Linked DNA regions of Mytilus edulis. The protein of the gene in region 2 purifies or fractionates together with the protein of the main gene of each other region. This does not show direct contact. Links are inferred from orthologs where the notes say so. Each region holds a gene or a part of one and is shown on either strand. Other genes may lie near its edges.

The links.
Region 1: the proteins of CCR4-NOT transcription complex subunit 10-like (region 2) and CCR4-NOT transcription complex subunit 1-like purify together in Homo sapiens (affinity purification with mass spectrometry; 4 studies listed by BioGRID and IntAct, with this or other methods). This does not show direct contact. The link is inferred for Mytilus edulis from reciprocal best matches to the Homo sapiens genes CNOT10 and CNOT1.
Region 3: the proteins of CCR4-NOT transcription complex subunit 10-like (region 2) and F-actin-capping protein subunit beta-like purify together in Homo sapiens (co-immunoprecipitation; 3 studies listed by BioGRID and IntAct, with this or other methods). This does not show direct contact. The link is inferred for Mytilus edulis from reciprocal best matches to the Homo sapiens genes CNOT10 and CAPZB.

Annotation. Positions count from the first base shown.
Region 1 is NC_092348.1:63,138,055-63,148,554, forward strand, and holds the start of CCR4-NOT transcription complex subunit 1-like, read right to left. Parts: upstream 4,898-10,500; 5' UTR 4,539-4,897; coding exon 4,437-4,538; intron 1,279-4,436; coding exon 1,171-1,278; intron 657-1,170; coding exon 558-656; intron 1-557.
Region 2 is NC_092348.1:14,909,442-14,920,183, forward strand, and holds the start of CCR4-NOT transcription complex subunit 10-like, read right to left. Parts: upstream 4,373-10,742; 5' UTR 4,289-4,372; intron 3,342-4,288; 5' UTR 3,323-3,341; coding exon 3,041-3,322; intron 2,213-3,040; coding exon 2,062-2,212; intron 1,402-2,061; coding exon 1,340-1,401; intron 747-1,339; coding exon 612-746; intron 1-611. Other genes in the region: peptide methionine sulfoxide reductase-like, read left to right, coding at 7,933-8,066, 9,224-9,368, 10,674-10,742. UniProt on the Homo sapiens protein: Component of the CCR4-NOT complex which is one of the major cellular mRNA deadenylases and is linked to various cellular processes including bulk mRNA degradation, miRNA-mediated repression, translational repression during translational initiation and general transcription regulation.
Region 3 is NC_092356.1:9,172,768-9,183,902, reverse strand, and holds the start of F-actin-capping protein subunit beta-like, read right to left. Parts: upstream 4,765-11,135; 5' UTR 4,638-4,764; coding exon 4,635-4,637; intron 1-4,634. UniProt on the Homo sapiens protein: F-actin-capping proteins bind in a Ca(2+)-independent manner to the fast growing ends of actin filaments (barbed end) thereby blocking the exchange of subunits at these ends.

The DNA.
Region 1 (10,500 bases), about 48 Mb from region 2:
ACCGTTGTTGAAACAGTAGTGGACAATAGTGTGCATCAACTCACAAAAAAGACAATAAATTTGAAAACCTAATATACTAGTCACAAATCAGCTATTTCTGATCACTCCCTGGAATACCTTTTAGGATTTAACTCATCCTAACTGTTGTTAATCAAGGTTTGATTTTTATTTTCTGCTTCCAAAAGTGTCTGTCTGTATTTTATTAAAGGTGACACAGTCAATTTTGACAAGAATTTGTATGTGTGTCATGCTATGGATTTCTTCTTTTGAAGCTGTGGTGAAATTTAAAGTATTCAAAACAGGAAGTAGGTTTTAGACACTCACAGATCAGATTAAAAATATTATCATTCTATTCAGTATGCATGGTATGTAGTACTTAAGAAAAGAGTGACAAATTTTTGTTTGTTAGACTAAGAACAAACGAGTGATATTAATGCCATATAGTCCTAGCTCGTAGAGAGGTGGGAATACTAACTAGTGTCATCTCACTAATTCACTTTGTGTCCCTATCATGTGTACTCCACTTATTTTGATTAGCATATTCTATCAGTACAAACCTTTTGATGATGTAATGGATTGTCAACAGAATAACACAAAATGGATACAAAATTGGGTTTACTCAGCAATGAACAACACTCTTGAATCAAATACTGAGTCTGAAAAATAATGAAACATATATAGTAAATATAATTTTCATTTTAACTAACATGACTAAAAATTCTACATTGCTCTAAATGGTTACTAAATTGATCATGTAAGCCTATAAAAGTATTAACATTCATGATGTGTTGCATCTTATTTCAAACAAACAAATAGTTGAAATTCCTCTAATTCATCTCATACACTCCACCCTACCACCCTCCCCTCCCCTTAAGTGAACCTTTGATTTTTTGTAATTTTTAAGTATTCATTCCTTTTTCTTAAACTGTTCTTTTCATTCTTTTGCAAATTTTTTTTATTCATTGTTATTCACAACCTCAGAATGTATTTACCTCTACTTTGTCACCATGCAAATGTTTCTGGTTTCTAAAAAAAATCTTTGCATGATGATCTTTTTCACTCATCAGAAATGGAAAACATCTCCTACATGTAAACTTAATTCATATCGGCATGACAACTTTTTTAAGCTGGATACCCAGTTGTACATATTTAATCATTCTAGTTTAATACCTGGTGAAAGTCTTTTCCACTACTACGACCATCACCACTAAAGTCAACATGAGAAAAAAGACAACGAAATAAATGTCTATCAGCTTCTGCTCCGTGTTGATTTACAAGCTGAAAAATAAATAACCAATTTTAAAAAATAAAATGAAATACATTGAAAACAAGAATGTGTCCCTATTAAATGGATGCTCCATCTACACTATCATTTTCTAAGTTCAATAGACCGCGAAAATGGGGAAAAAATCTCTACTTCAGTATTAAAATAAGAAAGATCATATCATAAGGAACATGTGTACTAAGTTTCAAGTTGATTGGACATCAACTTTATCAAAAACTACCTCGACCAAAAGCTTTAACCTGAACCAAAAGCTTTAACCTGAACCAAAAACTTTAACCTGAAGCGGGACAGAGGGACAAACAGACCAGAAATCATAATGCCCCTAATTGGGCATAAAATTACAGTGACTTTTTAAGATAATTGAAACTATTCATCTCATTCATCATGTTCATGATTCAAAAAGACTATTGGGTGCCATATCAATAGCTTATTGTGTGACTAGCATAGTTTTTGTACCAATAAATTTTAAAAATGAATCAGTGTACATGTAGAATTGATTGAGCCTCTCGCATTGAAATCAATTAAACAAGGGGATATAGGGTAGCTAGAACCCAGTCGTCACGCTGAGTGGCAGCCCAGGCTTGTATCTACAGGCCAACAGAATCTAACTAAAAAATTTCAAAAATTGAGCGCTGGGCCTGTAGATTTAGCAGTTCATCGTGAAGACTGTGGAACCAGGTAATGATTTTTTGGCCTTACTAAGCTAACTGTATGTATTTTACTTTACATAAAAGCTAGTTATTACAACAATAGTGATTTTCAAACAAATAACCAGGATACCAATTTTGCTTTGAAACTAACCTTACAATTTTTATAAAAGTAATCATAAATATTCAGCAATTACTAATTCATCATATAATCATAAAAAAAATTAATTCATTAAAAAAAAAAAATAGTTCACGAATTTGTATTTATCGTTTATGAAAATAAATAAGACTGAAATCATGAATACCAGTGACAAACTACATGTCATTCATTTAATTGAAAAGGAGAGGAAAACGACAATGTAGGTCAATAATATGAACATTTTTCACCAAAATACATACATTGTATGTATTAATATGCATGTTGATGTTTTTCTGAATTTCTGAATTTTATTACAATGTAAAAGGTGTAATGTAAAACAAAATGTTTTCACTATAAGTTTTCTAGATTATTGGGTATAATTATATTAAAAAAATATAACAGAAATTAGGACAATCAACATTAATCATCAGTATTAAATTATCAATTTCTTTCAATTGACTGTGATCTTAACAAGTCTTTAATCCTGTGTAATAATAAATAGTTACATACACAACGGTTCAAGCCGATCCCCAAGCTGATACGTACAAACTTTGTTTTTGTTTGAAGTTCTTAAAATTCCTCACACTTGCCTGTTGTCATCCTTTATTGATACTTTTTACAAAATCCATTTATACTAATTAAAAGTCTGTAGTTTATTCCTCATCATTTATTATGGGGCCAGATCGACGAGGGGCAGGAACGAAGTAGGGCCGGATCGGTTTGGGGCCGGAAGGACTGGATACCATTTGGAAGTCGATTAATATGAGGAGCAGACGTCAATCTGAGTCTAACATACATGTATATATATTCATGATATTGATATTATCACCGAAACAATACAAGAAAATTAATTCAACCTAATTTTGAATAAATATAGGATGTGATCATGTTAAGTGCATATGTGTTATGGAGCAACTGATTCCACATGATCACAGCAGAATCCGGGTCCGTCCGCCCTGATTTCGGTTCGCCCTAGTTACTGTTCGCCCTAGTTCCGTTTCGCCCTGAGACCGTTCGCCCTGATACCTGTTCGCCCTGATTTTTATTTTTTATTATAGTGTTGTGTGTTGAAGTCTCTACAATTTCGCCGAATATTAACGAACTATTGAGAACTAAGTTAGTATCTGTATGTAATTACGTTACTAGGAAATCACTATCACACATCCTTTTTCTTTACACAGAGACATATATACTTTACTCTGCTTTACATTTCCACACATGATTTGATCAATAAAAATGATACATTAGGAGCACTAAAGTTATACATAAGAAAGTGTTCAAAGTTCAAAGTGTTAATTGATCTAAAATTCTTTACTGCAGCGGCTGAACGTTGTCTAGTGCAGGGGCGGATCCAGCCATTTTAAAAGGGGGGGGGGTTCCTAACCCAGGACAAAGGGGGGGTTCCAATTACACGTCCCCATTCAAATGCATTGATTGTCCAAAAAAAGGGGGGGTTCCAACCCCTGGAACCCCCCATCTAGATCCGCGCCTGGTCAAGTGGGTTGTCGGACGGTACAGTTTGGCAATAATTTGTAAAAATTTTATTTGGGAAAAATGCTATTTTCATTATTAATCCATCAAAGACAATTCATATAACAATCAGTGATATCAAAGATTTCAAATTATCAGCAATCAAAATTCAATCAACAGTAATTATAAAATAAAGTGTAACAATGCAGCCAAAAATTTTATTTCATTAATATTCTGTATTTAACTTTTAATAGATATACATAAATTTTAATATATATATAAATATATATTTCTTTCATTAATGTAACGTATACATTGTCCATTATCACTGTACTATTATGCATATTTTAGGGGCCAGCTGAAGGACACCTACGGGTGCGGGAATTCTCGCTACATTGAAGACCCATTGGTTGCCTTCGGCTGTTGTTTGCTCTATGGTCGGGTGGTTGTCGCTTTGACATATTCACCATTTCCTTTCTCAATTTTACATATCATAAATGAAAATTGGGCGAACGAACCCAGGGCGAACGGATTACCAGGGCGAACAAACTCAGTGCGAACGAACCTAGGGCGAACATGTATTAGGGCAAACGATCCCGATACCATCACAGCACTGGACCTCTTTCAAACTCATAATCAAAGTTCAGACAGTCAAACTAAAAGGCTGCATAAATTTATCATGGGGCAATGCCTTCAATACAAACAAATGACATGGTTTATTTCAAAGTGATAACAACATCATATATCAGCTGATTTTACCAGTACACCATGTGCACATATTGGTCAAGATCACACGAGCTGAAATTATCTCCCTTGATAACGATACTCTTGACAAAATCTCTGGTTATAAACAGTATATAAGCGATATTGGAATTAATCTTATGATTATACGTACATGACTTATTTCTGTTATACTCGATTTAAAATTTTTCTTTGTCAAGTTGGCCACTGAATAACTTATTTCAGCCAAGGCAAAAGATAATGAGTCAAGATTCATATTATTCCATTAAACTGAAAACGAAAGCCCCAAATCAGTTTGAAGCTCTCCTAGTCCACTATATACACTCTCTGCACAATAATTATAAAGTAAATTAGTCATATGGGGCCTCTGTTGGCCTGGCATCTGGAAATTTCTACGGTTTTACATTGTCATTTTCAACACCGACATGGCGTCACAGCAGCCATGTTAAATCCGTGCCGAAACTTCCCGACTTTAAACGAAGCATTGGATCATGTGACACGTACTAAAAATGCGTTATTGGTAAAAATATTTTGATCAAACAAATATCTAGTTTCCTTCAGTTAGTTTAAATGGTTAACGGTAAAACAATCTGTCATTCTAAAATCACAACATTTAAAGTTATTTCACAAGTTAGAAAATTTACACGCCGAAAGTTTTCAGCTTTCAGTTCGTGAAAAAAGTTTCCGCCGGAAATAGGGCTCTTCACGGTTAGTTCGGCCATATTGGATAGGGGGCAGATTTTTTGGAAGGAGGTGGAAATGGTATGAAAGTGTGGGAAATCCTATGTGTGTTTCCAAGCAACAGCTCTGTTTTAATGATGTTTTCCCGTATTTTTCACACCATTTTTACCTCTATTATGAAAATCTGCCCCCTATCCAATATGGCCGAACTAACCGTGAAGAGCCCTATTTGTGCATGATGTGCATCGCTCAATATCGATGTCTTCATGATTCTTTTGGAATATATTTTTAATCAACTATTATTTGAGCATTTTGATGAGAACGTAGTGAAATTGGTTTTGTTAAAGTGTTTTCCGTGGTCTGTCTCTTTGTTTTCTTATGCAGACCTGAGACTACTATAACACATGTTATAGTAGTCTCAGTGCAGACGCACGACAGTCTAAACTTTTAACGGATCAATATTTTTTCAATGTTTTTTAATAATTGTTTCAGAAATGAGGAGGAACGTAACGTGACGGTATATACCCAAATTGCACCTAGATGTCCGCTGCTATTTTTGCTAAATAGGCGCAATTTGGGTACTCGGTGCAATTTGGGTACCGTACGTTAGTCACGGTAGTATTGATTGTAAACATACACGTGTAAACATACCACCATGAAAATTGTTCACGTACTGTACATGTCTGAGTCAAGATCAACAATTTAAGATTGGAATCATGGAGGGGGGACTAGGCGACCCGGCCCGCCGCCTGAGGACTTTTGCCGTTTGTAAATTTGAGTTTTAATTATTACTTTCGGCATTAGATTTTTGACAGCCACTAAATTCCCTCCTCATCAGACGAACTGGCCTTTCGGACTTTTTTGGGGGTATCCCGGATCAACATTTGAACAAACATGATTATATTGTACAAGCTGATCATGACTACCTATATTGAACTAGTTTCCATTAATAGATGCTCCTGAAATAATAGTAGGGGAGAATTGGGTAAGTGGACACATTAAGCGTGCACATATGTTTCAGCTACAGATGATATGTTATCAAAACTTTCTCATAACTTTTTACTTAATAACTTAATTCAGAACAAGTGTCGGCTTTATACAATTGAACTTGCTGATCATGCAGATAACCAACTTTCAGTGGTACATTCAGACGTGGTGTAATTACTCTTCAACGGGTTTTAGAGGTGAGTCCGGCGAAATAAAATCCATTAACTACGCTTTAGTCTTCGATAGGATCTTCAGCATGTTTAACCAGTCGATGTACAGAGTTTTACCAGAGAAAATTCATCAATACACAGTCAGATCTAGTTAAGCTATAACATGATTCGATATTTGGGCTTTTGATTTTGCCATTTGATTACGGACTTTCCGTTTTGAATTGTATTCAGAGTTCAGTATTTTTGTTATTTCAATATTCTTTTAAATAAACAAAGTCTGACCTACATTGAGAAAAAAAATGATTGTGTCAAAACATAAAAAATCTATATCGTCAATAACATTAAATTCGTCTTATGGGAACTACTTCTGTGTTCTGTCTCTGAGGTATCTGTAGATAGATTATTGCGAGGCAAAATGTCTGCCTCTATTTAACATAGCTTCATGTTCCTAAGTGGGAGGCCACATTTTGCATACCATGCATATTGTATTGAGTAGTTATCGACTTGAATAAGCAGAAATATTTGCCACTGGGAGCCATAGGTACTTTAGGACAGGATATTTTTTTCTTAACCCTCCCCCTATATAATAAATCAGTGAGCACTAGCTGTGGATAGTAAACTTGGAATTGATAGTAAATAGCAAATACACTTTATTTCTAGTGTTTAAATGGTCACATAATACATATAAAAAAAACGACAAAAGAATTGAAATGAATAGAAAACAAGAAAGTAGCGGATTTCGGAAAAAGGGATAGGGCACACAAATAGAAGAGGGACGAAAGATACCAAAGGGACAGTCAAACTCATAAATCTAAAACAAACTGACACAACGCCATGGCTAAAAATGAAAGAGACAAACAGAAAAACAATAGTACACATGACACAACATAGAAAACTAAAGAATAAACAACACGAACCCCACCAAAAACTAGGGGTGATCTCAGGTGCTCCGGAAGGGTAAGCAGATCCTGCTCCACATGTGACACCCGTCGTGTTGCTTATCATGCGGTGATTACAAATCCGGTAAATAGTCTAATTCGGTAGGTCACATTCATGAAAGGGAAGGGGATTGTAGTTACGACGTAAGGAACATATCCGATATCATTTGTGAAACGGTTATTCCATAACGGTCAACCAACTCGTGATGGCGTCCGTAAAATTTACGAAGGGATGATTTCAACTTTACCATTTGGAACTCTTGGTTTAATAGCTTCCTTGTGAGCAGTAACCCTCTATCAAGAAAATCATGATAGGAAATGCAAGCACGGGAATATCGTATCAATTGGGAGATATATACCCCGTATGCAGGTGCTGCTGGAATGTTGCTACTTAGAAATGGAAAGTTCACAATTGGAAAGCTGAAATCATCTCTTTTGTCGTAAAGTTTTGTTTTCAACCGACCCTCATTGTCAATTTCTAGATGTAAGTCAAGATATGAAGCCGACTTAACTAGTAAATAGCTTATGATACATGTACTTATAATAAAGTTCTACATGTTAATCTGTTAATCAGATTGACTAACAGGGTAAAACCTTAAGGAACTATAATCCTACAACTAAATGAGTGTTAAATTGTCTTTATCATGTTCTGGGAATATTTTCCAACAATTTGACTTATTTCCATAAAACCAAATTGCCATTCAGATCCATGTTTTGAATACAAAATTGCATAGTTTACATTTTCTCTCTCGAGTAAAGGACGTCGCTTACCAAATTGTATCAATGTGTCACGGATCAGATAGACAATAAACACTTAACTTAAAACAAAGTTTTGGATTAAGTTAACGACTTCCTTCTTATACATTTTTGGTCTAACTAAATCTGTACAAATTTCGCTATTTGGTTAACTGCTGTTTATTATTATTATTAGATGATATGTAAAATAAGCAATTTCATTCTTAAAATCTGAAATTACACCTATTGGACTGGTACCTATTGGGTGACTGTTATATATGGTGAATTTAATTTAAGATTGATAGACATTTTTGGAAAATGATCCATGTGTGCATGTTGTGTGAGAAAAATTAAGGGCAAAGTTCATTGTTCTAGTTTAATTTCCCTCGGTTAAAAAAAAACTTTTCATTTTATAAAAAAAACAAAAAGTTAATTCTGTCTTTTGAATTTCAACATGTAATGTTCATAAATTTTACGGACGCCATCACGAGTTAGTTGACCCAGTGGTCTCGTTAGCCCAAAATAGAAGGGCGCCGCGCCCTGGGTGCCCTTAGCCGCGCCCTGTGTGCCCTCAGCCGCGCCCTTCTGCCCTGACGCTGTTTTTCGAAAAACCCTTGTGCCGTTTTGGTAAAATTGCCTTTTGTTTCAATCGATTTCTTATCAGAAGTTCAATTACATATCTGACACCTGGTGATTGCCCCCAGGTAACGAGGTTAATCATGTCATTACAATCAATTATAGTGGATAAGACTTCAAAGGTGTTAATTACTAGGTAATTTAATTTTAAGACAATGTACCTTTGTCATAAATATGATGAATGTGTCGGCATTTTCTTTTCGATCCTCAAGTCACCATGGAAGAGTGTATGAATGAAGACTTTCGTGAATTTAGAATTGAATTGAAGTTATCAAAATAAAACTATGCCTTTACAGAAACATCGCTCATCTCAACTTGTGAGCGACAAGCAGACGTAAACATGGAAATTAATTTTGGAGTTATTTCCCCTGAAAAAGCTTATTACAAAATTGTGCTCCTAAAATATTATCTAGCACTAAAAATAGGAAAAAATAACCAATTGAATACAAAATTATATAAGAATGTTACCTTAAGGATATTAACTGTCTTTGAACATACAAAAAAAAATATATTGCAATTTATTTTTGATAATCATACTTTTGGCAATCCATGTTTTATACATTGTCAAAATAGAAATTTAAAAACAAGTTTTAAAGTTCTGAACAGGTGTCCAAGCTATGTACTTTCTAACCTGAAAGTGTGCAGTTTAACTCTAATCACAAATCAACTTGATGAAGCTACACTAAATAATATATTTCTGAACATGAACAATGAAAACAGGTGTTGAGGGTCAAGCTCTAGATCAAAATTTTAAAGTACTCTGTCATGTACATGTATGGTCAACTATGAGATGTTTAGTTTATGATCTTTCTTTTGGAAGGAGAGGGGGTGGGGGAGAAAAGTAAGTTTATTTTGCCTCTTTTGGTTAATAGTATGAATGTGTATTGCCATGTTTTATGAACATGTAGTATGAATGACTTTTCTTATGCAAATTTTATAGAATAAATAATCAAAACAACTTATGCATCTTTATTAACAATATATACAGAAAAAAAAATATGTGAAATCGTGATACACGCAGGGACGTAGACAAAAAAAATGAGCAGTGCCTTCTCCTATCATAAAAAAGTGCCCTGCCCTCCACTGGCACCCTGCCCCTTTTGAATTCTAGCTAGAGCACTGGTTATAGAATAACCGTTTCACAAATGATATCGGATATGTTCCTTACGTCGTAACTACAATACCCTCCCCTTTCATGAATATGACCTACCGAATTAGACTATTTACCGGATTTGTTATTACATAAGCAACACGACGGGTGCCACATGTGAAGCAGGATCTGCTTACCCTTTCAGAGCACCTGAGATCACCCCTAGTTTTTGGTGGGGTTCGTGTTGTTTATTCTTTAGTTTTCTATGTTGTGTCATGTGTACTATTGTTTGTCTGTTTGTCCTTTTCATTTTTAGCCATGGCGTTGTCAGTTTATTTTCGATTTATGAGTTTGACTGTCCCTCTGGTATCTTTCGTCCCTCTTTTACACTGTATCGTTTGACGATTTTTAGTGGTCCAAATTTTTGAAAGAACTGCGCTCTCTGGTTACATTTTCTAAACTGATTTGTGTCTACATTCATAGGTATGATCTGTATTCAGATTGACAAAATATACCATTTCAATTTTCCCATTGTGCCGTTTTTCATCTTTTAAATCAAAAGCAACATTTTAGCTGCAATCGCACACGAGGTTCTTTTCTATCTCAGAGTATACTTTATTTCATGTTTTCTATAGTCCGATTTTATCAAATAAAGAATATCATTAACGAACTATGGAAGCTTATAAGAAAAAGGTCTTCTTTATAGTAAGTTTTTTTTAATTGATTTAGAAACATATCGACCGACTTCATATCGTAGTTAATCGGGAAAGGATTTTAGTGCAAACGGTTTGCACGGATTCGTTCCGTAGCAACACTATGACAATTTTCCTAAGTGATGACTTAATTTATAACCAGCTAGGTTTAATATGGACGACTGGTGAAATATACCAGTACATTTGAGTTGAAACCCACTTTATAAATAATTGTTTATTGTCAAATAAGTAAAACACGATAATTGTACGAATCATGATACTTCACGAC
Region 2 (10,742 bases):
GTTCATGTGAAAATATGAAATAGCATTCAATTTGGTTCATGTGAAAATATGGAATAGCATTGGTTCATGTGAAAATATCGAAAGACATGTTCATGCTAACTATTAAATGTAAATATTAATGACACAGTGGACGAAATTACTAAAGAATATACAACTTCCAAACTTCAGTGATTGACTTTTGTGGATATTAGAAATATATCAAGATAACCTATACATTATCTTTGATGTCCTCCCTTTAATCTAGTGTGGTATTGAGGGATAAAGTATGGCATTTAAAAAAAAACAAGAATGTGTCAATAGTACATGGATGCCCCACTCACACTATAATTTTATATGTTCAGTGGACTGTGAAATTTGGATTAAAAACTCTAATTTGGCATTGAAATTAAAAAGATCATATCATAGGAAATGTATACTAAGTTTCAAGTTTATTGGACTTCAGCTTCATCAGAAACTACATTGACCAAAAACTTTAAAATGAAGCGGGACAGACGGACAAACAAACATATGAACGAATAGAAAACATTATGCCCCTCTACTTCATAGGTGGGGCATAAAATTCAAATTAAATAAAAAATAGATATTTAAATTACAAACATAACCTATCTCACCAGACTAAGTTTTGTTTTTGTTGGGTCATCAGCCATGTTGTCGTCTTTATCCTTCCCTTCTTTATCTCCCCCTGATTTCCCAGTATTAAATACATTCTTCTCTGCATAACTTAACATTCCCATCGCTTTCTCTGGCTGTAAGAAGAAAAATAAATAAAGATAATATGTATTTTTGTTAGATGTAGTTCCATTTGTTTTATTAATCTATTCATCTGATCAGTTAAGCCTTTTTCAACTGATTTTTATAGTTCGTTCTTATGTTGTACTGTTATACCACTATCCCAAGTTAAGGGAGGGTTGGGATCCCGCTTAAATGTTAAACCCCGCCACATTCTGTATGAGTGTGCCTGTCCCAAGTCAGGAGCCTGTAATTCTGTGGTTGTCTTTTGTTGATGTGTCACATATTTGTTTTTCCTTCATTGTATGTACATAAATTAGGCTGCTAGTTTTCTCATTTGAATTGTTTACATTAGTCCTTTCAGGGCCTTTTATAGCTGACTATGCGGTATGGTCTTTGCTCATTGTTGAAGGCCATACGGTGACCCGATGTTGTTAATTTCTGTTTCATTTGGTCCCTTGTGGAGATTTGTCTCATTGGCAATCATACCACATCTTCTTATTTTACATTCACAGACTGGACAAATAAAGCCAAAAATTTTCCTGAATTGAGCTCATTTGAAGATCAATGCATAAACTGTCTAATGAATCAATGTGATATAGTGACTTACTTGAAAAGTACACAGATATAGTTCAACAAGTAACATTATTGCTTTCTTTGCCAAATTTTCTTCTGAAAATAAACAAATAGACAGTTAGTTTTTGTAACAATAAGCGTTTGACCATTAAAAACATAAGTAATCTACTATAACACAGTTCAACTTGTCCTCAAGCATGATAACTGTAAAAATAAAAACTTATCAAAATGGAATTAATATATATTAAAAATAGGATAGATATGTTTAGGAGGTATTGGAAAATTTACTTGGGTGTTAAATTCAGTATGAATCAATAAATCTAAAGATATAACATCAAATAGTGGTCACACTGAATAACCCCTGTAGTGTTGTTTTTTTAAAGTGTGCACCACATTTATGTTATTTCGAAGACAAAAAAAATATTACAGTCATTTCTTATAAGTTAATTCTAATTTCCATATCAAACCGGAGTAAATCATGGAAAAACGTGATGATGTCATGGTCACATGACAAAATTATGTCTATGAGCTGATAAACATAACAACGTCTGCCAATCAGAAGATGTGTTTACATCCAAAAATAAGTTATACCAAAATCAACTCAAACATTGTCAAATAATAACCTTAATAAAAGCAATTTGACTGATAGTAGAGGAACAATGATGAAAATCAACTTTTAATGTTAAAATCAGTGATTAATTTACATTACACATATGGTCATGGATAAAGTACAATACACTATGGTGTACATAATACCTATAGGTTCGATAAACTGAAAGAGTTTGTCAAGGACTTTTGTGGCTGCTTTATACTGTCTGAGATGGTAAAATATAACGGCTTGGTTAAAATACAATACACTATGATCCACATCTTCTAAACTGTCACTGTTATCCATGCTGATGTTAGCCTGAGAAAATAAAAATTCAAGTATATTACTACAAAGTTATAATATAGCAATATATCATCATCAAGACACCCATAACTATGTTCCTGGGTGATTTCTACAAAATGCTTTAGAAATAACTTCCTATGTGATTACTAAAAAGACCAGGATGGAGAATGACCGCCAATGTAACATTTCCTTTAGGAGGCATCGGACAAAGTAATCAGCAAACTTAATTATCAGCCAATAATTAATATATTTCATTAGTATGATATCCTGAAGTCCACACACACATTTATTTACAATAATTTTCATTGTAGAAGAGACAAGCTGGCAGATGTTATTACTTGATTCAGTATACAGTACCAGCCACATTTACAGTTTAAAAAAAAACAAACAATCCTTTTTAACAGTTTAAAAACAGGGAAATATTTGCCAAATATATTCTCTTGATATCCTTATTATAAGAGACTACAGCTATAGCATGTATAGCCTATAATATTTCTCTGAACAATAATTAGAGATTTATGATTATCTCTGTTCACAATAAATAGATAAATAAATACAACACTGCATGCACTTTTAAATCTTTAAACCCAATTTTTAATGAGCTAGTTCAGCAGTTCATATATATTATTATGAATCTTGAGCCAAGCAGTAATGTTTGCTAACCATGAAATGCTGCATGCTTAGTGGAAAAGCAAATACCAAGTTAAAGTCTCTGGATTGACCTGGCCAGAAGTTGAAAACTACAACCTCTAGTACTCAAGGGAAGCATAATTGCTCAAAACCACTGCAACGGTTCCCAATAACATAACACTTTTAATTTACATATTTGAAATTAAATCATACCATCTGGCAAACTTTATCGAGGCTCTGTCTAAATTCATCTGTAGTCAAGAATCCACTTTGATAAAATTCAGCTACTGCTTTGTTGTGGACCACTTTAGGATCCATTGAACGTTCAACAAAAAGTTTGTGTGTAAGATTACAACAGGCACCATAGTTCTTCTTTTCAAATTCCTGTAGAGCTTGGCTGGCTATCTGTTTCTGAGGTTCTGTGACTGAAGGTATAGGTGGTGGAATATCTACAGTCTCTTGGGGAGAATCATCTTTGTTTTCTTGTGATGCCATTACTTACTTGTAAATGAACCTGATATAAAAAATAAAGATAACTTATTTTTTATCACTTACAAATATATCAATATCAAAATCTGACAAACCAATATATAAATGAAACTTCTAGAATTCAATTTAAATTTCAAAAACTTTTACATATTTGGACGCCGCCTCCAATAAATCTGGGGCCGTTCACGCCCATTGCTGTGAGCCTCCTTTCACTTTTGCACCCTAGACCTTAGCAACCAATTTTTATTAGTTTTGTGTTTAAATTATTTTGTAAACGAGTTTTGGTAAGTGCATTGCTATAAATATATTTTTTTAATGGTTCCTAAATAAAGTGAGATTCTGACATCTGTCAGTCTTTGTTTTGTGTTGAACATAAATCTTAATCATGTTTTGGTTAGTGCATTGCTATGAAAAAAATCATGGTTTCTAAATGAAGAGAGATTATGACCATGATGACAATGCTTTATTTTTGTGTTTGTTTACATCTCAAATCAGTTAACAGGTAAAGATGCAGGGCATTTATTTTCATTTTAAAAGAAGCTTGAAGGTACACTATCTATAACGGGACAAACATGTGTGGTGTGAAGGTGAAGAGTGTCAAAATGTATTGGGTGCGAACGGACCTGATACCGCCTGTCAACATTAATGACCACAGAAATTATGTCATGAATGTGTGCCAGTCTCTTTTGCAACTAAATTCACAGGCTCGACAATAAAGTTTAAATATTCAACATATTTAACGTGGGTGTCGAAATCAGTACAACTATTGCCGTCGGTGCCGATTTGACTATACCGGGTGCGATTTAACCAGAAATAAATTATTTACTGAGCCTGAGGTCACGACGGAAATAATTTGATCATTTGAATTATGTCATTTCAACATGTTACATGGATTTACTCTTGAACCAGTCATACATATTATTTATGTTAATAATTTCAAATTTATTTCAGAGGATACAAAATTTATGTTACCCTGCTGTTTGTTGTTTTCAAATTCCGACCTGGGCCTGGACTCAGCAGGCATCCATCTTGTCTGAGGGAAAAGTGTAATTTCATGATTTTATATCTGACTCCACTTTAATCATAGATTGAAGAAATAATACTCAATACTTTTCTTAACTACATTAGAGGTAAAGATGAAATCCAAAAGTATTTTTAATAATACAAGCAATACAATATTAACTATAGATGTATTTTGTCTTCAAAATTAATATAATAATATTTCATTAATTTAGGCTAATCTTGTTGGGAACTGGTTCCTGGATTATTAAATTTACTATTTTCCTTTAAATTATGAATTGATAACAGATTTACTGAAATTTGACATCTAAAAGTTAATACAGTGTATACCTATAAAACAATTTGACATCTAAAAGTTACAGTGTATACCTAAAAACAATATCTAAAGGGTATAACAGGTAGAACCTCAATTTTATATTATAATTGTCATTATGGATTTATTTCTTTAGCCTAAGTTTAGGTCAAATAATAACAGACATAACAGACAACAATGATATTATATAAACACAGCCATTTATAGTTCAGATAGGTAAACAAGAATATGACGCTAATCATAAATGTAATATGGGCTAACTCATTTCAAGCATTCTGTGACAAGACGAATAAAGAAGATTATACAGTGGCGGATCCAGGGGGGTTCCGGTGTTGGAACCCCCCTTTTTTGGCCGATCAATGCATTCGAATGGGAACATATAGGGGGGTTCCGATCTCGGATCCCGCTTACTGTTTTGTCAGATTCCTGTATCCCGCTTACACTATGTACGTAAGCAATTCTAATTTTTTTGTCATTTCCCGGGTCCCGCAAGACCTCATTTCCCGTTTTCACGACACAATAATTTGACTTTCACGCTTACGAAAAATCGGCAATCCCGCGTCACGCTTAGACCCCAATGAGACCCACCATATAGTTGGAACCCCCCCCTTTTGTCCAAAGTTAGGAACCCCCCATTTAAAATGGCCACTGAATTATGGTACAGATATGCTTCACACTTTTTGCCTTGATCTTCTGTTCTCCTCTTTGATCTTTACAATTTTGCAAATAGCATTCATTTACTTCATGGAAAGTTTGCGGTCCAGTAGTTCATAAAATTCTCAGTGATATTGTTGGCATTTTTCAAAACAACCTCTACCCTTTTTTATTGGGAAAATATGCATAATTTGGGGGGGGGGGGTTTCAGTCATGCTTCAGTGATTCCCAATATGATCAACCAAATTTTTCTCACAAAAGAGGAGGCTTGTGACTTGTTTTTCGGTTTCTATATTTGGAACAACAACCACACTACAACTTCACAATTTTAAATCATATTCAAAATCGTGTTAAAATATGTTAGAACAAATTTAGTAAAACTTACCTGTTTCAGCCATTTTTTTTTACTGTCAAAAATATGCATCACCAGAATAGTTGTTGAGAAAAACTCAGAATGGTTACATGAAGTACAGCTATGTTGGTTGTCTGTCAAACACTGCATCTTCAAGACATGCGACTGTCATGTATGTTTTCTGTAGTTTTTGTGACAAACCAGCTAGTTAAGATTAACTGGGTTCTTACATAAAATCGGATTGTTCAAACTCCATTCATTCAACATTCTATTGACAATTCTTTTTATACAACCTTAATATATAATGATAAAAACAGTCCTAGCTTTTTACATTTAATCACTAATTTTAAAACTTCAGAAATAAGGTCTTTTGTAGAAACCCAGTGCCAATCTGAAAAAAATCAAAATGTAAGAATTTCAGCGCATGAAACATCAACCAAAAACTATTTACTATTTAGTTTTAATACTGAAAAGAATTAAATAACTTTTTTATGAGTTAAGCAATCACCAGAACCACAACTTTATAAATTACTCATTTCTGGATTTGATAGTCATTTCCTGTTTGTGAACTGATTCCGTTTTTTCTTCATATGAAAACATATGACACTGTTTTTTGACATACGAAAATCGCAAAATAATCAGAATTAGTAAAAAGTCATAGTTAGCCTTGACAAATAAATCTAGATATCTACAAACATTCGATAGAACATGTTTTTAAAATTTTGAGTACACACCTGAATAAAAACTCCACTGAAAACCGTGAGAAGTGAAAATTGTTATTAGTCCAAAAACACATTACTCGATGATATGTATATACATTGTATATGTCAAAGTATAAAATCAGGGTGAAACTCTGTTTGTTAAAGCTACATTTGTATTAGTACCATTTGTTTAAACTTTTACATGTCATACCATTTGTTAGGTTCAAAATTATCAAGAGTATAAAAAACTTTGAACAAATTTAACTATAAAAAAAATCTGCCATCAACAGACAACACCAAGTCTCACAAATGACAAAAGATAACCATTGAAGAGTACTTCTTGGGTGAAGCACCATTATTTTAAAGTATATTTACACTTTATGACGTAGTGAGCATTTTTCAGAACCACTCCTCAATCACAATGGCCTAAATGATTTATCTAGAGAATACAAAGGTTTTATATTTGTAGAGTATCTTCACTATGCCACTAGAAGAAGGGAGGTTATGTAAGGCAACTTTTGCCCTGAGCTGATTCTGGTTCCCTGAGGCCCAGTTTGGATGTCTACCTGGTGTGGTCAGAACCAAAGTGGGATTCACAGGTGGAGCCACCAAGAATGCTACCTATCGTAACATGTAAGACATTATATTGATCTGATAAAGGATTAGTCTGTTATAAATTTTTATTATATTACCTTGATTACAGCTTAAAAGATATGTGAGTTATAATTTATTTGGTCAAATTTATTCTTATGATGCCTTATGCAGGCTTTATATGTTACTGTGACATTCATAACTCATATAGCACAAAAACGGTTAGCAGTTGCCTGCTGCACACTATGTTATGGAAAAGAATAACACTTGCTTTATTTTATCACTTGGTTTCAACAAATGAGTGTTAAATTTTGAATTTTATATGTTTTTGGTTTATTCTCTAAATGATATTTACCTTTGTATAGATAACAACAAATATATTCTAATCTGTTCATTAAAATTTCTTGAAACATGCTGTAAACCAACTTATGTTTGTGAATATTTTATTTCTCGTTCTGCCTATTCTAGCCAATTTCGCAGCGATTTAATTTCATTACGTAGTTAAGTAAACCAAAATCCAATTTTTCATATTCAAGACAATTTATATATTTGCAATAGTTTTATACTCTAAAATAAATTGCACACAAAAACTAGTTGGTTTACAATTTGTGGGAAAATAGGAATAACTTTTACTCTGAAAAACAGTTGCATGTTCTTATATTTTATCATTTAATTTTGCCAGAAATGAATAATATGTTTTAACTGTAGATTCATTTAATTTAGATTGGTAAGGTCATAAAGACATGTAAATGAATGAATGATACAATGTAGGTAAGATAGGGAGAATATTATGCTCAAAATGTTAAATTTTATATATACTACATTCAAATTGTAATGAACTGATTTCAACTGTAAACTATTTTGTAGTGGAGATCATACAGAGAGTATCAGCTTAGAGTATGATCCCAGTAAAATAAGCTATGGTGACCTGCTGAATAAATTCTGGTCATTCCACAATCCTACTTCATCTCACGGAACCCAGTACATGTCAGCCATCTTTTATCATAACACTAAACAGAAAATAGAAGCAGAAGAATCAAAGAAAGAACAGCAGAAGGAAATGGTACGACCAATAGTAACTCAGATAAAGAAAGCTGATACATTTTATGATGCAGAAGAGTAAGATATACTAAAGACATATACAAATACTGTGGATTCATTTATTTTCGTGGGCACCAAATTTTGTGGATTGAGCAAAACTTGCATTTTTGTGGATATTTGATTTCTTGGTTTGGCCAATGTCTGCATACAACCTTTTAGAAAATGTGTAATTCAGTGATCATTTCAATCCATGGTTTATCTGTACCCACTAAATCAATGAAAATTGTTACCCCACAAAAAATAATGAATCCGCAGTAATTCATATTGTGAAATTTGGACCCTTGGTACAAGTTTAGGTGGATTGAGAAATAATTGTATAATTGGGAAATAATTGTATAATTGAGAAATAATTGTATAATTGGGAAATAATTGTATAATTGAGAAATAATTGTATAATTGGGAAAATCAATTTTATGTTTTTGTCAAAGTCAGCATACAAGCCATAAGAAAATTAGTTCTTTAATATTTAAATTCCTAAAACTCCTTTACACATGAAATCCACAAAAAATGGTGATCCACGAACAATAATGAATCCACAGTACCTTTGAGACAACAACAATCTTTATAGAGGCTCAACTTTACAAACATGCACCACACATGTGGAAAGTTAATGCACATTAAATGTCATCAAATGTAGGAAGTTAAAGCTTATAAACATCTCATATAAGTAGTGAAAGCTTACAAACAAAAACAATTCATATAAGAGATTAAAGGTTACAAATATAAATAACTCAAATAAGAGGTCAAAGCATAAACAACTCATATATGTATACATATGTACCAGTGCCTATGCTGCTTTTCCTGTTGCACTACTGTTGTGTTGATCTCTTAGTGAGCTATAAAAAACAGTTAATTTGGTACCTACCCCACCCATCCTGAAATTGTATCATTAAATCCATTTATGCCTTACAGAAAAGAAGTTTGCACAGCTGATTGATTGATTTATTGTTGGTGTTTAACACCACTACCATCTCAATTGGCTTAATCTGTAGTCAGTTTTTAGTAGTGGAGGAAGCCCAGAGAAAACCACAACAATTGACAGGAAAACTTACACTCCAAGTCAATTAAGATTTGTACAGGATTGGAACTCACTACCTCAGCGTTAGAAAAACATTGTACAGTAGTTGAACTATTTTATTTTCAAATTAACTTCATTTTTGCTTTTATTCTTTTAGTTACCATCAAAAGTACCAATTGAGAAAGTATCATGAGATATTAGATAGCCTCAATCTTACTAATGAAGAGCTAATTACCTCCCCTGTTGCTTCCCGTTTAAATGGTTACCTAGGAGGATATGGATCAGCTAAAGCTTTTGAAGAGGTGAGTCAACTTTTTAATTCATTTTGATAGCTAGTATCAATTTACACTTTCTTAATTTTAACTCTTGGGTATTTTTCATGAGATACAAATTGGTAACACTAATGCCTTAAATTATGTCCTGACAATGTTCCGAGGATTGACCAGACCGGAGTGAGAAGGTTAAATATTTTTATGCCCCACCTACGATAGTAGAGGGGCATTATGTTTTCTGGTCTGTGCGTCCGTTCATTTTTTTGTCGGTCTGTCCCCCTTCAGGTTAAAGTTTTTGGTGAAGGTAGTTTTTGATGAAGCTGAAGTCCAATCAACTTGAAACTTAGTACACATGTTCCCTATGATATGATCTTTCAAATTTTAATACCAAATTAAGAGTTTTTACCCCTCCTTCATGGTCCACTGAATATAGAAAATGATAGTGCGAGTGGGACATTCCTGTACTTGGGACACATTCTTGATTTTATGCCCCACCTACGATAGTAGAGGGGCATTATGTTTTCTGGTCTGTGCGTCTGTTCATCCGTGCGTCCGTTCGTCTGTCGTAGCGTCCGTCCGTCTGTCCCGCTCCAGGTTAAAGTTTTTGGTCAAGGTAGGTTTTGATGAAGTTGAATTCCAATCGACTTCAAACTTTGTACACATGTTCCCTATAATATGATCTTTCTAATTTTAATGCCAAATTAGAGTTTTTACCCAAATTTCACGGTCCACTGAACATGGAAAATGATAGTGCGAGTGGGGCATTTGTGTACTGAGGACACATTCTTGTTATTATTGAAAGGCTTTAGAACCAAGCAAGATGACAATATTTCATTAATAAATACAAGAGTAAAAATTTGAAAAACACATTTGTAAAAGTCAGAAAACTTGACCTGACCAACTTCAACTTTGTACTGACTAATGTCCTGACGGATATGAAACTGGGACTGAGAAAATTGAACGAGGTCACTATCTTTGTATATGTATTTTCTAGTAAAGTGTATATGCATGGTTAACTGTTTATTTCAGACTAATTGTAATTTGGATATGTGTTTAAGTATGTTATAAATCAAATATGAGAGTTTGAGTCAAATCAATGAATATGATTTTGACAGCTAGTGGCCCTTTAATTTCACTTTTTGTATTAAACTATAAAAATTACATACAGATTTTTTTTTTTTATGTCAGCAGTTTATTAAACATTTTTTTCTTGCAATGTGAGTGAGTGCTGTAGAGAGGGTAACTTTATATATGCATTATAGCTTACTGTGGTCAGTAAATAGTTTGATATGTATTTTCTTTTTGTCATGTTAATCAACTGTCTGTATATTCCAGGAATGTGAAGATTTAGGACTTCCACAGAAAGTCAGATCTCTTGTGTCCAGCAAACTGCAAAATAAGCTT
Region 3 (11,135 bases), on a different chromosome or scaffold from region 2:
CGGGCCTGTAAAAATTTATCTAAGCCAACAGAATCTAACTAAAAAATTTCAATAATTGAGCTACGGGCCTGAGGATTTAACAGTTCATCGTGAAGACTGATGAGGCAGTCTGTTGCAAACTGTTTCAGGATTTGTCTGACCAAAAAAGCAACTAGAATTTTCCTCCTATATATTCCACCAAAAAAATCCTGAAAGTTTGGTCTGACCGAATGATTTTATGGTTTCCTATGCCTTATCCAAGACATCTATTCTTCATTTGTCGGTCATAAGTCATTAAATATTGGACTTCATAGATGTTTCCTCAAAATTTTCAGGTCAAAACTAATAGTCTTTTGAAGAGAAAATGTCTGAAGTATTGGAAAAGTGAAAGTTGGATGACATCAAAAAGTTCCAAGTGTCACAAATACATGTACACCTATTTGGAAATTTACACCAGTTTACCAGAGAATCTGCACCTCTTGAACTACTTATGTCATACAACAATCACTTTTCATTTTGTTTTAGTCCGAATAATTATGACGTCTTGAAAGGCTTTTATACTTTTAAGTTTGACATTTTACATTGATGTCATAACGCTGAACTCATATTTTCAGTTGGACTCAAAGGTAATTATCTGTGTTAATAAAACTCTTGGGTTGATTTTTCTCAAAGATGCTTCAATTGAGTATAAAATATATTTCTGCACTAAACTCCGTAAAATTTGACATACCTGGATTTCTGGATAATATAAAACAAAGGTTTCAGAAATTGAGTCTGTCAAATTTTACAGAGTTTGGCGCAAAAATTCATTTTTTACTCTTCTTTAAAGAAATCAGTTATACATGTAGATGTTTTAAATAAAGCAGAAGATAAACATCAACCTTGGACAGTCAGAGCTCAGACATAAACAAGTCGATTTTTGATTTTGACTTACAGAAGTCAAAACATGTATTTATTACAAGAGTGCACACACTGAAATGTCTCGCCTTCTTTACTAATCATTGATATTATGTTGATAGTCCTAAGTATAAAGCTTTATTACAACTGTCACATAAACTTAACATTAACCAAGATAGCTAAACAAAGACCAATGAACCATAAAAATGAGGTCAAGGTCAGATGAAACATGCCAGGCAGATATGTACAGCTAACAAAGCTTCCATACAACAAATATAGTTGACCTACTACTTATAGTTTAAGAAAAATAGACCAAAACACAAAAACTTAACACTGTGCAATGAACTGTGCAATTGAGGTCATGGTCAAATAAAACCTGCGGGACTGACATATAGATCATAATATATTTCCAAACACCAAATATAGTTGACCTTTGGCATATAATATTAGATAAAAAGACCAAAACTTAAAAACTTAACTTTGACCACTGAACCATGAAAATGAGGTCAAGGTCAGATGACATCTGCCCGCTAGACATGTACACCTTACAATCATTCCATACAACAAATATAGTAGACCTATTGCATAAAGTATGAGAAACACAGACCAAAACACAAAAACTTAACTATGACCACTGAACCATGAAAATGAGTTCAAGGTCAGATGACACCTGCCAGTTGGACATGTACACCTTCCAGTCCTTCCATACACCAAATATACTAGCCCTATTGCTTATAGTATCTGAGATATGGACTTGACCACCAAAACTTAACCTTGTTCACTGATCCATGAAATGAGGTCGAGGTCAAGTGAAAACTGTCTGACGGGCATGAGGACCTTGCAAGGTACGCACATACCAAATATAGTTATCCTATTACTTATAATAAGAGAGAATTCAACATTACAAAAATTCTGAACTTTTTTTTCAAGTGGTTACTGAACCATGAAAATGAGGTCAAGGACATTGGACATGTGACTGAGGGAAACTTCGTAACATGAGGCATCTATATACAAAGTATGAAGCATCCAGGTCTTTCACCTTCTAAAATATAAACCTTTTAAGAAGTTAGCTAACACCGCCGCCGTAGCCGCCGCCGTAGCCGCCGCTGGATCACTATCCTTATGTCGAGCTTTATGCAACAAAAGTTGCAGGCTCGACAATAAAAATGTGTTTTCAATTTTAGACTTATCTAAGGCAGAAAATGACAGACTTGTTTAGGTCTATTTATGTTGATGAAAAAACATAATTTGACTTGGTGGCCAAAGTACACCACCTACATGTATGACAGCAAAAACTTGTCTGAGAGTTCACAAAGACTTGAGCTATCTATATTTAATTATCCAATTGAACATTCTAACTTAAACTAAACACAGATGTTTTACCTCATTAAGTGTGGCTCCAGGTGGTTGCATTGTAAGGTTAATTAACATTATCTCCGATTTTTTAGACTCTCATTCATATTTTTCTTTAGAAGACAAAGCATTGTTTTTCAATGTGGTCATTATTTGATTTAGATGTGTGACCTTTTTATAAATATGCGTGGGTCTTGAAGTTTACCAATGTTGGTAACTTATTGACTTGTAGTCCGTATTTGCAACTTTTTATTTCTTGTCAATTATTTCTTGCTTAACAATATTTGACTTATTAAAGTCGTATTTTGTCTTGCATTAAAGGGAGACAAATCCTAAAACTTACAAATTTAGACTTCTATGAGTCAAAAGCGGATTCAGACTTATTTATGTCTGAGCTCTGACTGTTGGATGGACTTTTTTAACATTACGAAAGACAATTATTGCAGGGATCTCCATGGATGAAAATTGAACGATGGAGGAACTTTCACCATTACAAACCGTGTCTACACTGTTTTCGACATGGTTTAGTGAATTGAGAGTAGATTACCGTGAAGAGGAACACTGCAGGGATTATGAAATTAGTTTAGTGTTAAAGGAAAATATTCACTAAATCGATTCATATAAGGCAGTGTTCTAGGATTCCCATTACCCGTTACCCGGGGTAAGTGGATTAGGACAACGGGTAAGTCATTTTTTAGCCTTTGTCACCCGGTGGTAAGTCAATTTTCAAGTTCAGGGAAGCCGAAAAACTCTTGAAATTTTCCGGTCCTCTTCAATTTTCCCATATCTGCTTTTTATTTTTATTAAATCACGAGAAAAAACTTTGACATGTTTGATAAAAGATCGAAGATTTTGTCGATGTCTATCGGCGCTTTTATTCAAACACTCGTTTACTAGGTGTAATCAAGCGCAAAAGAGACCACATTCTTCTCCTATCATTCTAAAAGTCGGTCACAGTATCGGTAAAATCGGAAAATCCGGATTGATAACTGGTGCTTAAATCCGGACATAAACGATTTTTTTTCTTGTCATCGGAGGAAAATAAACTTACAGTTGCATTTATTATAGCTCTTAATAAATGACATAGTAATAACTATAACATATTTGTCAAATTTAGTAAGAAATCGTTTTTTTTAAATTTTGTACAAAATTCAATCGTATCCGAATCCAGCTTTGTTCAGACAAACTTCACAACATATAATTTAAAGCATGTCATAAAAGTTTTTAAATTTAAAATCTATGTGCAACACATGACTTATCCTTAATCACTAATGTTCAGTGAATCAGCCTGAAAAATATTCAGTATTTTATAAAGAGCATGTCTGATTTTTAAAAAGAGTTGCATGTAAGTCCCTTATTTTTTTTTACAGTGGATTATTGGTATGAAAGTCAGTGAAGTTCTGTTATAGTTCAATGTACTTTTTTGGTGGTATAGGTATATAGTTACAATTAAGCCATATATTTCAAATACTTTTCAATACACTTTAGTCATCATTGCTTCATACAAAACATCATTTGACATCACAAAAAAGGGTACTTTCTGAAGCATGAAAAAGGTGCCAGGAAATGGCTAGAATGCAGGATTTTGCATCATTTACCCCAGAGCTTATGGGGACCTTGAGCGGCCCCCAGACTCCCGGCCATAACGGCAGCGGACGGCGCAGGCGGATTGAACTTATAGATGTGGGTAAGTAATTTTTTTATTGATCTTACCCGTGGTAAGTCAAGGTGCCAAAAAAATCCTAGAACACTGTAAGGTAGGGATTTTTAGCATTAAGTTGAAGGGTAGAAAAAGCGTCCGAAGCGGAGACTGTCATGACCTAAAAAAAAATTCGTTAGCCACCTTCTTCTATTTATATGGATAGTCGACCTTCCTGTGGATAGAAACAAAAGCCTGTGATATTAGCCCATCAACACGTCATGATTATTTGGACTTTTTTCAGTTATGACTTCAAATTTTTCCAGATCCTTTTGTTTTGAGATGTCCAGTAATGGCAGATAAATAGCTATCTCGGGTCAAGTGTTGCAGATCCTCTAATAGGGTTCAAGGTGAAGACTGTTAGTGTAAACAACCATTTTAGTCCATTTGTTATTTATGAACTTTGAGTTTATGTACATGTATTGTTACAATCGACTATAAAGCTGTATTTGGCCATACATTTATTTCACAATAATGTCTATTTTAGTACAATCAACTGTTCTAAGCATGCACAATGTCAATATATTCTGATATTATCAATTCTGAAACCCTGAACGATATGGATACATCGATGGGTAATCCGCCCTCTTTTGAGATACTTAGCTTTAATGTCATTAAAATTTTTCTAGAAGTAAATACTGATTGAAAAATATGAAGTATAATTATTATATTTTCGATCTATAACAGTCTAAACATTTATGCAAACCATTTTGTGGAGATAATACTCAAATCTTTTGATTCAGGAAGCAAGAGTTCGTAGAAATGGCCTCTACATCCGGGACAGCCTTTACTGGTTTACATGAGAGCAAGCATAGAAGAAAAAGAATTAAACCGGATATCAGTAATGGGTCAATACAAAATGCAGCATCGGAACGGATTTATTGTTTGTTCGTTTTCAGTTTTGCACAAATAATAAAAAAATCAACGTCAACCAGATTTATTAAAAAAAAATAAAAAAAAAAAATCATATTGTAATATAAATATCAGATAAGAGCCAAAAGAAATACAGATTTGACTGTTTTAACAAAAGGTTATTATTTAAAGGCGTATTTCAATAAAAACTTACTTTCTTATCCTAGCCACTTTTAAAAAAAATGTGTTTGATCTTTGCTAGTAATTTTTTGTGCAGCCAGTACATCGAATAAGATTTAACATTTTTAAGCAAAGACACAGATGATTTTTTAGAGCGATTGATAAGATATTGATTCCTGAATATGGTCCAAAACAACCAAAATGGCATGTCTCTAGACCGCCTGTTCAACATTCATACTCGTAAAAAAAATATAGAAATACATTTTATTTTTACTTAATATAAGTTCTTTAATAATTTTGTTAAGAGCCAAGTTCAGTCAACATATTTAAATAAACAGCTTTTAGCATAGGATTTTCAATTTCAGAAGGTTTGTCCCTGACAAAATGTCCAATATAAATATCAGATAAGAGCCAAAAGAAATACAGATTTGACTGTTTTAACAAAAGGTTATTATTTAAAGGCGTATTTCAATAAAAACTTACTTTCTTATCCTAGCCACTTTTAAAAAAAATGTGTTTGATCTTTGCAAGTAATTTTTTGTGCAGCCAGTACATCGAATAAGATTTAACATTTTTAAGCAAAGACACAGATGATTTTTTAGAGCGATTGATAAGATATTGATTCCTGAATGGTCCAAAACAACCAAAATGGCATGTCTCTAGACCGCCTGTTCAACATTCATACTCGTAAAAAAAATATAGAAATAAATTTTATTTTTACTTAATATAAGTTCTTTAATAATTTTGTTAAGAGCCAAGTTCAGTCAACATATTTAAATAAACAGCTTTTAGCATAGGATTTTCAATTTCAGAAGGTTTGTCCCTGACAAAATGTCCAATATAAATATCAGATAAGAGCCAAAAGAAATACAGATTTGACTGTTTTAACAAAAGGTTATTATTTAAAGGCGTATTTCAATAAAAACTTACTTTCTTATCCTAGCCACTTTTAAAAAAAATGTGTTTGATCTTTGCAAGTAATTTTTTGTGCAGCCAGTACATCGAATAAGATTTAACATTTTTAAGCAAAGACACAGATGATTTTTTAGAGCGATTGATAAGATATTGATTCCTGAATGGTCCAAAACAACCAAAATGGCATGTCTCTAGACCGCCTGTTCAACATTCATACTCGTAAAAAAAATATAGAAATAAATTTTATTTTTACTTAATATAAGTTCTTTAATAATTTTGTTAAGAGCCAAGTTCAGTCAACATATTTAAATAAACAGCTTTTAGCATAGGATTTTCAATTTCAGAAGGTTTGTCCCTGACAAAATGTCCAATATAAATATTAGATAAGAGCCAAAAGAAATACAGATTTGACTGTTTTAACAAAAGGTTATTATTTAAAGGCGTATTTCAATAAAAACTTACTTTCTTATCCTAGCCACTTTTAAAAAAAATGTGTTTGATCTTTGCAAGTAATTTTTTGTGCAGCCAGTACATCGAATAAGATTTAACATTTTTAAGCAAAGACACAGATGATTTTTTAGAGCGATTGATAAGATATTGATTCCTGAATGGTCCAAAACAACCAAAATGGCATGTCTCTAGACCGCCTGTTCAACATTCATACTCGTAAAAAAAATATAGAAATAAATTTTATTTTTACTTAATATAAGTTCTTTAATAATTTTGTTAAGAGCCAAGTTCAGTCAACATATTTAAATAAACAGCTTTTAGCATAGGATTTTCAATTTCAGAAGGTTTGTCCCTGACAAAATGTCCACTACGAAACGAAGTCATTAATATTTGCTAATTAACAGTTTTATAAAATCAATGTAATTTTTGTTTGCAAGAGATATAAACATTAGGGTCTTACAAAAGAAGTGATGCTTTTATAACGGCAATTAAATTGTTGGTAAGAAAAATTGAGCACATCAAATGGACCCGAGTGATACCGTATTTTTTTTAATGTCCACTACGAAACGGGTCAAATCTTCTTCAGTGTCTGGTTTTAAGATTATGAAAAATATCAGTGTACAGCTTAATACATGCTTTGATGAATACAATCAGTCTTGTTACTATTGCAATATAGGGATTGTGGGGAAAAAATAAAACATGTGAATATGTTCCCTACGAAACGGTCGCCTATATATACGAAACAAGTATGGGAGAAAAAAACGTTTCGTAGTGGACACTACCACTACCATGCAGTCTTTTTTTAACACCTTTTTCAATTATATTCGTGCAAAACAAATAACAAGGGTTAGTTTCATGTAATTTTTATTATGTTTTTATCAACATAGAATAGGGGTTGATGTTAGCTACGAAACTTTTTGTCCACTACGAAACGGTTTTGTCAACTACGAAACGCATCAAAATGTAACATGAGTTGTACCTTCATATGTGAAATACTGTCTAATCTTTATCGATAAAAAATGGTTCTCCAATTCAGAAAAAAAGGAAATTTTTCTAGTATATAAAGTAAAGAAACTGGAATGTCTATAGGCAACATATAAAATTGCAAAAATATGTGTGTTTAGAAGCAGTTTAATAGGGGACCGAAACAGTACACATTATGAAAATAATATCATTTAAAAGAATATTTAAGATTGCACTTTTTGTTTACAAACAGGTCTATAATAGAGGTATTCAAAATAACTCTTGAAATTAAATTTTAGACAACTTGATTTTCCATTATTTTTAGGTCTAAAAGTTACGCTTTTATTGAAAAACGACCTTGTAGCGGACATCCGGCATTGGCTTTGCTCATTGTGGAAGGCCGTACGGGGACCTATAGTTGTTGATTTCTGTGTCATTTTGGTCTCTAAAACTTGTGGAAAGTTGTCTCATTGGCAATTATACCACATCTTCTTTATTTATATTAAGACAGTACAATGTGCAATTTGCCATTACTCATTTTAACACGGATTTGTTTTCTCTGATTTCTATCTGTCGATTTATGACGTTCGAACAGTAGTATAATACTGTTGCCTTTATTTATCCATAATTCATGCAATTCAAAATAATAGTTTTCAAAACTTGCAGATAGCTTTAGTATATTTAGAGTTATCTTTCTTAGAACCATAAAGGAATCAAGTTGGAATGTAAATGGCTTCGGAGATAAATACAGAGATGATCAATTCATGTCTTGCCTCAAATATGAGACAATTGTTGCTTAGAATCGGAAAGTTCAAAATTGAGAAACTTCGGAAAGTTCAAAATTGGGAAACATGACTTATCTCTTTTGTCAATATCCAGATACTATTTATGAAAAGAGGCAGACATTCTGTATCTGTGGAATCCAATGGGAGAAATCAGAGACGACATAATCTTTATCACAGAATATGTAGTTGAATGAGAATGATTGTAGCTTCTTTTCGTTCTTCCGAGAAGCTTGTGTATATAAGTCGTCTACCTATCATGCTTACGAAAAAGAAAAATCGACAAAAGGACCATTGCTTCCAATAGGAATGTCAATAGGTTGTTGACCAACAAGTGCTCTAAACGTGACAAACATGTCAATTGAAAAATTCAAACAGACATATTACTATAATTGTTATAGTTTAAAAATTTGTTTAGTAAGAATCAAGTGCGTTTTTGAAAATCATGTTTTACCTCTTCCTATGACAAGATAGCTGTTAATACATTGGCTTAATTTATGAAACAAACAGACTCTTTCGATGTTTTAGAATGATTGATATTGTTGTAAAGGATAAGAAAGTCAAATGTTTTCTAATGGAAAAGGATAGAGACTTAGATTGTACTTAGATAATACATCGTTTTAAATATCCACACTTGATTTACACGACCCATAGAGATAATTACTCTGAAATTCCGATTTGATTAATTGTAAAATATAGTAATATTTTAGAAAGAGTTTTTTAAGCAGCACAATTGAATGCTGGTTGTAATGGAATCTGTGTTGTTTTGGTATTTAGTACTGAAAATGACGTTCCAGTTGTTGATATTTTTTTCAATTTACAGAAGACTCACCAGTAAAACTCGAATAAGATATAGTTGGGAAAAATAACTATATAAAGTACGAAGTTGAAGAGCATTGAGGATTCAAAGTTCCGAAAGTCTGGCCAAATTCGCTGGATAGAAAATCGTTAGTATTTCCCAATTCCTTAGGTAGATGTAATTGAACGATCCCAATTTGATATATAAATATTCCGAATTATATAATTGCACGCGAGTACACCTAACCAATGTTGATCTGCTTTGTTTTATTGAAAGGTAAGCAGAATTGTCGTGTTGTAAAGTTAACTTGTAAGTCTAAATCGATAGGTTTCTTTCGGGGCAAAGGAGGACGGGATTGTGGAATGACGATAATCGATTGGAACGTATTCATCTTCATCTGTGAAACATATGTTCCATAACGGTACACCAACATGTGAATAAATAAAATCATCATAGATACCAGGATTAAATTTTGTATTTACACCAAACGCGCTTTTCGTCTACAAAAGACTCATCAGTGACACTCGAATTTAAAATAAGTTAAAAGGCCATGCAAAATAATGTGCAAAGTTGAGGATTATTGAGGACCAAAATTCCTAACAGTTTTGCCATAGACAGCTTAGGTAATCTATTCCTGAGGTAGAAAAGCCATAGTATTACAGCAGATTTCAGTCAGTATGTAGCTAATGGTAAAATCTTTGGTTAGCTTGCTTGTTAGCTGAACCGTGAAGTCATTGTTAGGTAAGGTATACTACCCTCCTTTTAAAGTAGCTTAGTCCTACAGAGAGATAGATTTTTTATCTGTTGGGCTAGTCTACTATTAAAGGAGGGAAGTTTACCTTACCTAACAATGACTTCACGGTTCAGCTAACAAGCAAGCTAACCAAAGATATTACCATTAGCTACATACTGACTGAAATCTGCTGTAAAGATTTAAAAGTTTTGAAAACAGTGATGTGGTCCTGAAACTTTTCGACGGGATATCAAGTTCATCACTTGGAACTCTTGGTTTAATAGCTTCGTTTGTAAAGAGCAAACCTCTATTAAGAAATTCATGATAGGAAAAGCTATACCTGGAATATCGTACCAACTGGGAGATATAAACTCCATATGCAAAGGCTGATGGAATATTGCTTCATAGAAATGGAAAGTTTACAATTGGGAAGCTGAAATCCTATATGTTGTCTTAAAGCTTTGCTTTGTTTAGACATTAATTGTAAATTTCTATTTATAAGTCAAGATATGAAGCAGAATTATCAAATATATCTTTCGTATCCGTTATTTCATGTAAAATGGGATAGATGCATTCAACAGATGCTGCTTGAGGTACTGATACCGTGTGTCGAACTTAAAAGTCGACGAACCTTTGGGTTTCCTCTACCATAAATGTAACCGGGAGAGTGGCTACTTGATTGGGGATGATAACGAGCTACAACCCACGACCGGTTGACGTTGTCGATGTAAAGGGTAGACAATGACTATGAGTATCGCTCTAAGACTAGCATGACAAGGTCCATTTTAAACATTTGAATTACCGCACATCAAATAAAATACTGTCTGTAATATAAAACTTATCAAAGATACAGACTAGAATTGGTAACAAGATATTTATATAATAGATATGTTTGTCCATATGCATTCAACTGCAAATAATGCAAACTTATACTATTTAGATTATATGTGTGAAAAAATACATAATGAATAAATTAACCTTTGTTTCGACCGTTGACTTCCTTGTTCAAAAATTTTCAACAATATGGTAAGAATATTTTTGATATTTCACTTTTTGTTTCGATTTGTTATCATATGCAACTTCTGTACAAAATACTTTTCATGGGAAGAATAAAACTTGCGGATGATACACAATTAAGGGACTTCAAAATCAGAAGTTGAAGAGAAACTGACTCCGTCGTGGCTAAAAAAAAGAAGATCGAAATGACACACATCAATCCTTAAATATAAAGAACACTTAACACTGAGCAACCTGAACCCCATAGATAATCTCTGGTCTCAGATTATCCAAAAAGGACACTCAGATCTTGCTCCAAATGTAAGAACCATGTATGTGTTGCTCTAGAAGGTACACATTTGGTAATAAATCTCTTTCGATGAGTCACAATAGAATGAAAGAAAATGAGATGACTTAAGACTGTCTCAAATCCAGTTTACATTATACGGCAAAACGTTAGGTAATACATTTCAATGTACAAATAACTTTAATGTGTTGCATTTATAATTTAAGCATATTTATTTATATAGGATTGGG